3 linked regions of the Macaca fascicularis genome follow. The protein of the gene in region 2 purifies or fractionates together with the protein of the main gene of each other region. This does not show direct contact. Links are inferred from orthologs where the notes say so. Each region holds a gene or a part of one and is shown on either strand. Other genes may lie near its edges.

Region 1 (3,319 bases), on a different chromosome or scaffold from region 2:
CCTGACACGGAAGGGCTAGCTGGGCTCAACTGCAAGCCGATCTGCTGCTTAGACTTGAACAGCCTACGCCCTCTCCAGCCGCTGTCTGCACCCATGTTCCCAGATCAACCATGGTTCCAGGGAGGGAGAGTCAGAGCCTTTCTGTGAATTACGCGAAAATGGCTGACCACTCGGCCTCTGGATGGTTACATGGTTAAGGTTTAGTAAAATTTAATAAAAGCATTGCTGTTTGTGTGTTGGGATCACGATGTTAATTTCTTCCTGTGGGTCAAGGGCAGTCTGAAAAATCACTGATTATAATCTATCTGCAGGACAGCTGGTTTGCTTAAATTTTGACAAAAACCTCTTCTGGAACCTCAGTCTGGAATACTGTAGAACCAATTAAGACTGGAGTAGGAAGCTGGGAAGAAGACATGGGACAGCCCACCCACTGGACAGGTCATGAGACCACTTCTGGGGGAGAGTGGACAAAGTTGCTTCAGTCCACACAAGACAAAAGCACAAACAATCATTCTAAACCAAGTGCTTTTAATTTTCAGACCAACCAAACATTTTTAATATAAAAACATTTTAATAATATACAAACAGCAATCACAACAGCATCCACATGGCAGCAAGGGGACCAGGGCACAGAGAGGGAGAGCAGGCTGGGGAGGGATGGTTTTCAGGGTCCCAGTTGCTTCCCTGGCTTGAAATCACCCTGGTCCTAGCAGAGAGAAGATTAAGGCTGCCAGAAGCAGAGGGTCCCTGACCCCGACCCAGAGACAGACTGCGCAGGCAGGCCCTCTGACACCATCTTCCAACTAGAAAAAGCCAGATCCATTTAGGAGATAACAGGAAGGTGGCTATGATTGACAGGAAAGGCAACATGGTTCCTCAGCATCCTGCTGATCACACCTCTGGGAGCAGAGTTTTCCAGGGGCTGCTGGATTGAAGAGGACCTAAGAATCTTCCTGGGAGCAGGACAGAAATGGGATCTAAGTCTACCTACTAACCAAGATTCCTGCCTGTGACACCAGAAAGCTGGAGTGGATCTGCTCAGTGAACGGGAAGAGAAAGGAATGACAGAACCTTTGGCTCAGCAGGACCAGAGCCTTGACGGGCACTGACCAAGAAAGCCTCTAGGCAGGCCAGGGAGGTCTGTCGGAAAGCTTTGGGTCAGTGGTACTCAGGGGTGCACAGTGGCACAATGGCCTTAGGTAGAATTTATGAAGACGAAAAGAACACAAGTCAGAAAGAATTTAGAACTGAAGTACCTGCTTCTTATAGGCCTGTACAAGAAAAGCGAGATCATCCTTCTGGCCAGGACTAGAGGAGTCCCGAGGCCTGTTCTTTCCTAGGGGCTGAGTTTGACAGACCTGGATGCAGCTGATGGCCCCCAAAGTCCTCTAGATGGGCCCTGCAGGACTTGCTGGGAGGCCTGGTTGCCCCTCCTGGTGTGCTGGGACACTGGGTTCCTGCAGTTAGATGCAGTCCATGGAGTTCTCAGGGAGGAGGCCAGGGATGCAGCCAGGGAGGCCCAGGCCCTTGATAGGAGTGCAGTTGAGTGGGAGGCTGCAGCCCAGGGAGGGGTCCTGGGTCTCTATGGCCTCCAGCCTGTCTGTGTTGTTGTCCCAGTTGATGTGGAAGCGGGTCACCCGGGGGTTCGAGGCCAAGATGTTCCGCTGGAGCTGGGGCAGAAAGAGGAACGTCAACCCTTGTTGACATGCCCTCTCCTTGCTCCCATAGAGCCAGGACACCCCCAATCACCCATCTGAAGCCCAGCAAGAGCAACCCACATATGGAACTCCAGAAAACACCTGTGCACCATGATTTAGGGCTAGGACCTATCTTTTTGTTTTTTTGAGACGGAGTTTCGCTTTTTTTGCCCAGGCTGGAGTGCAATGGTGTGATCTCGTCTCACTGCAACCTCCACCTTCCGGGTTCAAGCGATTCTCCTGCCTCAGCTTCCTATGTAGCTGGAACTACAGGTGCATGGCACCATGCCTGGCTCATTTTCTTATTTTTAGTAGAGACGGGCTTTCATGTTGGCCAGGCTGGTCTCGAACTCCTGACTTCAGGTGATCCGACAGCCTCGGTCTCCTAAAGTGCTGGGATTACAAAGTGTGAGCCACTGCACCTGGCCCAGGACCTATCTTTTTTTTTTAAGGGACAGTCTCTGTTAGCCAGGCCAGAATGCAATGGCATGATCTGAGCTCACTGCAGCTTCAAACTCCTGGGCTCAAGTGATCCTCCCACCTCAGCATCCAGAGTAGAGTACTCCACCCATGTCTCACTCATTTTCTGAGGTGGGGAGGGGGTAGGGACAGGGTCTCGTTATGTTGCCCAGGCAGGCCTATCTAATCTTAATTCTCTAAGACATGCCTTTGAGAAACAAAGGCCTTTTTCTCCTATTCTAACTCAGTACTGTAAGAACTGAACATTACTTGAAAACCTTAAGAAGTAACCTTGACTCCCAATTTGAATGGCTGAACTCCCCCCCAAGTATAAAGAATGGCCTTGTGGGAAGCAGGAAGTGGAAACAGGACCCACCTGGGAGAAATCTGGCTTCATGGGTGGGTTCTCACGCAGCTCGGGGTTGAGGTACTCGTTGTTGACATAGTAGCCCACTCGGATGAACTCCTGTCCGTGGTAGGTACAGGTGATGAGGACTACGGTCACACCCACGGCATCAGTCTCTGGGATGAGGGATGGGTTGGGGGCATCAGCCTAGGGGAGACACATCCTAGGCCTTAGCAGTGCCACAGCCATGCCTCTATGTCATTAGTAGAAACAAATTCCCAAGCAACATGTATTTACTGAGCAAAAAGTATGCTCTCTGCCCTCAGTTTTCTTTTTTTCAACCTCTGCCTCTCGGGTTCAAGCAATTCTGCCTCAGTGTCCCAGGTAGCTGGGACTACAGACGCACACCACCACACCCGGCTGACTTTTTTTTTTACATGGAGTTTTGCTCTGTTGCCCAGGCTGAAGTGCAATGGTGGGATCTCAGCTCACTGCAACCTCCACCTCACAGGTTCAAGCGATTCTGCTGCCTCAGCCTCCTGAGAAGTTGAGATTACAGGCGCCTACCACCACGCCTGGCTAATTTTTGTAGTTTCAGTAGAGTTGGGGTTTCGCCATATTGGTCAGGCTGGTCTTGAACTCCTGACCTCAAGTGATCCACCCATCTTGGACTCCCAAAGTGTTGGGATTACAGGCATGAGCCACCGCCCCCAGCCTTTTTTTTTTTTTTTTTTTTTTTTTTGTTACGGAGTCTTGCTCTCTCTCTCCCAGTCTGGAGTGCAGTGGCATGATCTTGGCTCACTGCAAGCTCTGCCTC
Region 2 (4,078 bases):
AAGACTTTTTGCAGATGACAAAACTGTGGTCCAAGATCACTACTGAAGCAATGAAGCTAGTATCAAAGCCAACTGTAAGCCAGGTGAGGTGATGCATACCTGTAGTCCCAGCTACCCAGAAGGCTGAGGTGGAAGGATTGCTTGAGACTAGGAGTTGGGAATCCAGCCTGGGCAACACAGTAAGATCCCCATTTCCTAAATTTAAAAAACCTGAACTGAGGTTTATTTCTCCTTCCATTTTTTTTCCTTTCTACTGGTTCGGAAGTTATATTTATTCTTTCAATGTTTATCCTCGAAGTATAATGTACATTCTTACCTAAAGTCTAAATTCAAGTCATTTTCTTTAACCTACCCTTAAACATGAGGACCTTATAAACTTTACTTCTAAATGTCCCCACTAACTTACTTAACTGAGGCACATGCTTTCATTGTTCTCTCACACTAATTAGATGGGGAAACGAGGGAATGAAATGAAAATACCAGCCAGGGTTGGTGGCTCACGCCGGTAACCTCAGCACTTTCAGAGGCCCAGGTGGGTGGATCCCTTAAGCCTAGGAGTTGGGAGACCAGCTTGGGCAACATGGTGAAACCCGTCTCTATAAAATAAATACTAGAATCAGCTGGGTCTTGTGGTGTGCGCCTGTAATCCCAGCTACTCAGGAGGGGGAAAATCACTTGAGCCCAGGAGGTAGAGGGTGCAGTGGGCGATGATGGCATCACTGCACTCCAGCCTGGGTGACAGAGACCCTGCCCCCTAACACACACACACACACACACACACACACACACACACACACACACACACACCCCCCCCCCCACATATAATTGCTCAGTTTTAGCTTTCAATTTATGGTGTGAGGAACTACTTAAATGGTTTGCTTTCTTGTAGCCACATATAAACTTTCTGTACGTATAACCTGCCAGGAAGCTGAGACTAAGTTCACTAATGACCTAACTCTGGCAAGACACAGGGGACCTGCAAGAGAGATTTGTTGCATACTTTTATCTCAAAAAAATAAAAATAAAAATAAAAAAACACATACACACACCTGGTCCTGCGCAGTGGCTCACACCTGTAACCCCAACACCTTGGGAGACCAAGGCGGGAGGATTGCTTGAGCCCAAGAGTCTGAGACCAGCCTGGGCAACATCAAGACAAAAACTTAGCCAGGCGTGGCGACTGTAGTCCCAAGCTACTAGGGAGGATCACTTCAGCCCAGGAGTTCGAGGTTGCAGTGAGCTATGACCACAACACTGCACTCTAGCCTGGATGTGAGAGCCAGACCCTGTCTGCAAAAACAAAACAAAAACACACACCTGTCAGTGAAATACTGACTGCCAGAGCTATCCAGGAAACATTATAAAAAGGAGCTCTTTTTATAACAGCTATAGTACGACTCTCAAGCCCAATCTATACTGCTCATATCGAATCAATGGGGAAAGAGGCAGGTAATGGGAGTTTGAAATTAAAATTATATTTCCCATGAGTTCCCAGATGATTGTCAGGGTGACTTGAGAACCACTGCTCTACAAGAATGCAGAGAAAACAAAAGGTGGTAAGCAAAGATGTAAGTAAATCTCTAACTATAAGCAAACTAAGACATAATCATGACAGAGTGTAAGCCTATAGAATATCAATTTAAAAAACTTCACAGCAACCATTCCGTTCACAGGGAAGGCAGCTAACCTCTAAAGCGCACAAGATTAGAAAAAGAAAAAAAACAGAACCAGATCACTAAAAAAATAAGGCAAGATTGGGAAATCAGACCTACTGTATGGGAAACAGCACTTGTTTCCTTGAAGTCATGTAGTGTTTCCCTCCACTGTTCAAAAAATAGATTACGCCTGAGTGGCATTGTGCTGCTTTCAAAGCAATCCTATCTTGTTTCCCTCCAGCCCTTCTCCACTTCGTGCACACTACTGCCGATTCACCTAGCAACCAAACAGTGCTGGTGAGAGCTCCAGACGGCGCTTCCTGAAGACGCTTTGCGTCCGGATAATGTTCCCCCGAACAAGGCAACACCTCCGAAGTCTAAAGAACTACAATCCTCCCCACCACAGGCAGGGGCTCATGGAGTCGAGGGGAGCGATAACTATCTCCCAGCACAAGACGTGAGCGAGGCGTGAGGGGCGGAACTAGCCTCACCGGTCCCACAGAATAGTCCAAATGCTCCCGCTGGAGCCGCAGCGGCCCCAAACAATAGAGTTTTCCCGCCTCCTCAAGGCCCCGCCCCCTGCTCCAGAGCCGGCAAGGGAAGCGAACGCTCGCGCGCAAAACCCCGCCCTCAGCAAGGCCCCGCCCACCCCGACCCCTCAGGTCCAGCCTCCTTCCTCGTGCAGGGGTTTTTTTTTTTCTTTTGGCGCCAAATCTCCGTTGGTTATATTCCTGGGTTATCCAGGGACTCTACCCGAGGCACACGCTGGGGACAGAAGGGGAGTGAAGGCCAACTCGTGCGCCAGGGCCCCGCCTCCCGGCCAACCGCCCCGGGCCGGGGGAGGAAGAAGAGGGGCAGGCGATGGATACAGCCGCCGCTGCCCCCGGCAAGATGGCGGCCGCAAAAAGCGGGGCAGGGGGCGCCAGCCGACCGCCGTTACCGCTGGTGCGCGAGGCTCTCAAGCCAGAGGAGGACTGCTCCAGTGACCGGGCCTTCCCGAACAGCGACAGCTGCTCCCGGGAAGGCAAGTACGCCCGCCCACCGGTCTGTCCCTTCTCCGGAGCCCCCGTCCATTTGCCCTCCCCGCGGACTGGCCAGTGCCTCAAGCTTTCCAGTCCCGCTTACTTGTTGGCAGAAACCAGCTCCGCGGCGACGGCGGCAGTAGCTGTGGACTCAGTGGCCATCGTTCCCCTGAGGTGGCGAACCAGCGAACGGAATAGAGCCTGTGAGAAAAACAGGCAATTTGGGACGCCAGAAACTCACTCAGGGACAGAAAATGGCAGATTAGAGACCCCGCGCGGCTGGGGCCCTCTTATATACTAAGGCCCTTCGCCCCGCCCATCCACTTCCGGGTCCTCCCCCTCGGGTTTAAAGGGCCAGGACTCAACACCGCCCCACCGTCCGCCGCAGGCCTACCATTATCTAAGGACACCTCCTGCCCTCTCCATATGGCTCCGCGGCGTTGTTTCCCTCCCTAGCCCGCCTTGTCCGATAAACAGCAACTTCCTGCTTCTCCACCAAGTCGCATAAGAACTGGAATCTTGCCACTACAACTCCTGACAGGACGCCCCTGCGGCATCCAGAGACAGGGAAGCCAGTGCTGCTCTCCATGTTTAGGGCGAGTAGCCGAGAGTCTCCTTCCGGCCTGGATACTGAGGAAGGTGACTTAGACTTTCTCTCCGTCCTCTGAGTCGTAACGGACGGACACGCAAGAGCCGAGGACGGGTACTAGCAGCAGCGACTAGAACTGATCTGGGTGAGATCTGGGCCTCAGCAACAACTGACGCAAGAAGATTTTGTTCTAGGATTGGCTACAGCTGAAACTACCGCGCTTGATTCAAAGCTCGGGGCTGCAGCGGAAGGCGGCTGGCTCCTCCCTCTGAACCCGCCCCCTTTGGCTGGCCCAATCCGCTGATGCCATCGTCTTAGGCCCTACCCAGACTCCAAATCTGGCTGGTTTAATGCTCCCAGCGCTTTTCGTCCACTCCTGGCTATGATTTGCTGAGTGACTACTACATGTAGGGGTACTGTGATTAGACCCTTTAAAGCTATTAGCTATCTTGTTTAATCTTAACAATGCTACTAGTGAGATCGGTGTTAGTCTGTTTCTTAGAAAAATAAGCAAAGGGGCCAGGCGCGGTGGCTCACGCCTGTAATCCCAGCACTTTGAGAGGCCTAGGCTGATGGATCACGAGGTCAAGAGTTCAAGACCAGCCTGGCCAAGATGGTGAAACCCCGTCTCTACTAAAAAATACAAAAAGTAGCCGGGCGTGGTGGCGGGCGCCTATAATCCCAGCTACTCCGTGAGGCAAGAGAATATTTGAACCCGGGAGGCAGAAGTTGCAGTGAGCCGAGAGCTGGCCACTGCACTCCAACCTGGGCAACAGAGCAAGACTCTGTCTCAAAAATAAATAAATAATAAA
Region 3 (3,648 bases), on a different chromosome or scaffold from region 2:
TACTGTTGTGAAGGCATGTATTTTAGGAATACAAAACACACACTTTAGGAAATGTGTATTCTATTTAAGAAGTATTTACCTTGACTTTTTTTCTCAGTAAAGTTTAGAATATTCTGACCCTACATGTAAATTAAAGCGCAGGCTGCCTCTAAATAATGCAACTGTTTGCCAAATAAAGTGAACAAATAAGTTATACCATACTTTCAACATATTTATGCCTGACCAAGATTTCCCCATATATATTCCGCTCATTATCTTCAATTTGTTCCATTAAGCACTTCACAGTTAGGGATGTAATCCAATCCCCACAAAGCCTTATGATTTAAAACATAAACTTAAGCCATCTTTAGATGGCTTAAGCACCCTAGGAAAATGTTGTTGTTTAAAATAGTTATTTCTGACAAAAATACAATCAATCAGTAAGGAGACATTTTTTAGAAAGGCTCTTTCAGTAACAAATCAAATTTTACATACCTGTAATATCAAGAACTGTAGGAAATTCAGTGTAGTATCTATGAACTGTTTCAAGAAGCTGAGCACCATGGCCTTGACCTTGAAATGGAGTCAAAATCAGCATCTGACTACAGTAAAGAAATTATTTTAAAATTAAAATATCATAACATGACCAGTTTAAAACTTGCAAATCACTATAGTATTACAAACACTTTAAAGTTTGTGTGATCTTTTTTCAATCCACCTTTGAGATACCCAAAAATTATCAGGATACTCAAAATTAGTTTAATCTTCTACACTGTTTCAAAGGGAACAATGAAATAAATCAGTACATAGTCCATGAATAATAGTGATTTTTTTTTAAACAAATCAACACTATTATAACAAGTATTGGAAACTTCAGCAGTTCCTTCTGCTGAAATAAAAGACAAGGCACGTGTTATACTGCCAATTACCTTACACGTGGCCGGGTTTTGTCTGGGTACACATAGTAATTATAGACTGTCATGTAGCCTACGGTCGCAAAGAGCGTAGCTCCATCCTTATTATACTTCTCAAATCTGCAGATAAAACAGAAAGCCAAGCAGGTCAATTACAGTCGCGCTCCCATGCAGTGTCCATTTTCTTTTCCATTCTCTGACTGAATTTTCAGTGTCAGCAAGCTACTCTGTGAGGGCCCAATGGGTACACCTGCTATGTTCTGAATGTACAATTCACTTAATTGCTGTGCAGCAACTTGGATAAATCAGACCTCTTTACATCACTTCAGTGCACTTGCCTATTATAAAGATGAATAGGTGGCAAGTAAAAGAAAACACAGGCAAAGCTCATTTTACTGTTTAAGCCTACATTCAGGGCCCTAACGGACAACAGCATTTAATTCAGCTCTATTCTCAAGGTCTCCCAAAGCATAATGAAGGAAAACTCAAGCCTCATAAACAATAGTTTTTCTTTCCTGGGAAAAATATCATTATACTGTCCCAATAATTGGGCTGCCACAATTAAAATGCTGGCTTTGTGGAGGTAATAAGGTCTACTGTTGCTTTAGAACTGTACTTACACTAGAAAGTAGTGCCATCTTTCATCATCCACGTCAATAAAGCTAGCAGTTTCAATAAACCACATCAAAAAGGTCTGAAGCCTTTCATGATACTCTCGAAAGCCTCTACATGTCATGTCGGCCTAGGGAAAAAGCCAGGAAAAGTCAGGTGAAACTCATCACAAAGGTAAGTGAAAGTCTGCAGAACACAAAATTATCCTGTGGGAAAATGTTTAGAAGTCTCAGATTAAGATGTGGACACAGACACAGACATACACACAAAATAGATCTTTGTTTATAATGCTGATTAAAACTTGTTTACTGCAGTTAGAATAAATCACTGACAACAAAACTACATACAGGTTTCAGGCAAAAAGAACTTTACTCAATAAATATTTAGATTTATCTTTACCTTATATATCTGAAAGGTAAAGTTTTCTCCTCCTGTTGGACTGAGAACTGAGTAGGTATGAAGTAAGGTTCCGAATGGCTTGAAATCAACTTCTTTTTCCAGTAAAGAAAGGAAATCATTTGTGTTTGTGCAAAATCCAGGTGGAATGATTTGTCTAATTTTGCCCTCAACATCATCTGCCTAAAAAATAAAGGATATAAAAAATCAATAACAAATTCAACTTTAAGTTGAATATGGTTACTTTCTTTAAAACTGACAAAACCAACACAAATTATAAAATTTTGGTTGAAAACTAAAGAAGTAAACACACAGTGAACTGGAAAAGGATGAGCTTCCTGTGCACAAACTACATCACACAAAACTGAGATAAGCATAACATAAAAGTAAATAAGAGAAGGCAGGTAATCTGATACCAAGTACAATAATAAGGGCAATGCTATGGACGTTTCTGTTATGTAGAAAATGCTGACTATACCCCTTCATGACAGTCTGAACTGGCCAAGGCAAAAGGCTGCTTATTATTTTATATGTGTCAAAGAAATCATATTATCCAAGACATGAAAAGATCACCAGAGGTAGTGAGATGAGGCTAGAGTCAGACCAAATGAATAGCAATCTCACAACTAGATGGGTCACAATTCCCTCATATGCCAAACTCAAACTAAGATGATAATTTTAAAATATACCTATTTAGGAAATAACATAAATTATATGAATGGATATATCATTCTTTCATCCTTAGAATGTGACACAATTCTTAGAGACCTGGATTTGTGACAGTAAAAAAGAGACAAGACTGGACAACAAAACTAAACTTGGAGATTAAAATTACCCTTGTTAAACAACCTCTATCAATGTTATCAGCTGAGCAGACTTCATAATCCTTTTCAAAATCCCAAAAGACCACTTGATTGAATACATTTACTACTTCTCTTTAACCATGAATATTTGATGAAGTCTTACAATAAAGTATTGCTGCTTCTCACCAGGCAATAAAACTTAATGAATTGGTCTCAACTTAACAAAACCTTATCCCTCAATACAGTCCCTAAAAGCCTGACATTACATTCAACAAAATGAGCTTGTATTCTATTCAAACTTTTTCCTGAACAATGAGGCCAGGTTTTTACTTAATGGAGTTTGCCGTGAGTTCAGCTGTAATGTTTGTATTGTATCTATTTCCACAAGGACTGACACAAGAACACTTTGTGTTAACTTACTAAGCAGCTCTTTCATACCGTTTACATGCATGATGGGTATTAGTTCTAAACCAAGACCCTTGCTACTTAGCATTCAAAACAGGGAAATTAAGATGCTTAGGACAAAATACACTACAAAAGGCTAATACAACATGCTACTAATTCCTGTCCTTTCAACCATCTTTTAACTAAGTAGAGGCAATGCACCTGCAGATGAATAGCACTTTATTATGATTCAGTTACATTTTAGGATAGAGAACCAGGGATGACGTTTATCACAAACAAGTTTTATTTTCAATGCTCTGGTACCACCAACATTTATATATAATTTGTTTATAGCTATAAAAAAAGACCTATTATTGAAAATATAGCTCTTCAGCATTTTGCCCAACAGTTTATTTCTAATATGTACATCAGTCCTTACAACTCATTCACACTCGAGATCAAATAAACTGCATTTCATAGGACCGTTTTTGTTTATTTTTAAAGTACTATTTGATAAATATTTTTCCTTGCAATTGCTAACGTGAAGAGGCCATCTTAAG

Evidence for each region.
Region 1: the proteins of NASP (region 2) and ASF1B purify together in Homo sapiens (affinity purification with mass spectrometry; 5 studies listed by BioGRID and IntAct, counting the BioPlex papers as one, with this or other methods). This does not show direct contact. The link is inferred for Macaca fascicularis from reciprocal best matches to the Homo sapiens genes NASP and ASF1B.
Region 3: the proteins of NASP (region 2) and HAT1 purify together in Homo sapiens (affinity purification with mass spectrometry; 3 studies listed by BioGRID and IntAct, with this or other methods). This does not show direct contact. The link is inferred for Macaca fascicularis from reciprocal best matches to the Homo sapiens genes NASP and HAT1.

Annotation. Positions count from the first base shown.
Region 1 is NC_088393.1:14,540,007-14,543,325, forward strand, and holds the end of ASF1B (histone chaperone ASF1B), read right to left. Parts: intron 2,710-3,319; coding exon 2,533-2,709; intron 1,671-2,532; coding exon 1,464-1,670; 3' UTR 512-1,463; downstream 1-511. UniProt on the Homo sapiens protein: Histone chaperone that facilitates histone deposition and histone exchange and removal during nucleosome assembly and disassembly. Cooperates with chromatin assembly factor 1 (CAF-1) to promote replication-dependent chromatin assembly.
Region 2 is NC_088375.1:189,135,852-189,139,929, forward strand, and holds the start of NASP (nuclear autoantigenic sperm protein), read right to left. Parts: upstream 2,942-4,078; 5' UTR 2,840-2,941; coding exon of another isoform or gene 2,781-2,839; intron 1-2,780. UniProt on the Homo sapiens protein: Component of the histone chaperone network. Binds and stabilizes histone H3-H4 not bound to chromatin to maintain a soluble reservoir and modulate degradation by chaperone-mediated autophagy.
Region 3 is NC_088386.1:67,507,615-67,511,262, reverse strand, and holds part of HAT1 (histone acetyltransferase type B catalytic subunit), read right to left. Parts: intron 2,085-3,648; coding exon 1,905-2,084; intron 1,636-1,904; coding exon 1,514-1,635; intron 1,014-1,513; coding exon 909-1,013; intron 582-908; coding exon 475-581; intron 1-474. UniProt on the Homo sapiens protein: Histone acetyltransferase that plays a role in different biological processes including cell cycle progression, glucose metabolism, histone production or DNA damage repair. Coordinates histone production and acetylation via H4 promoter binding.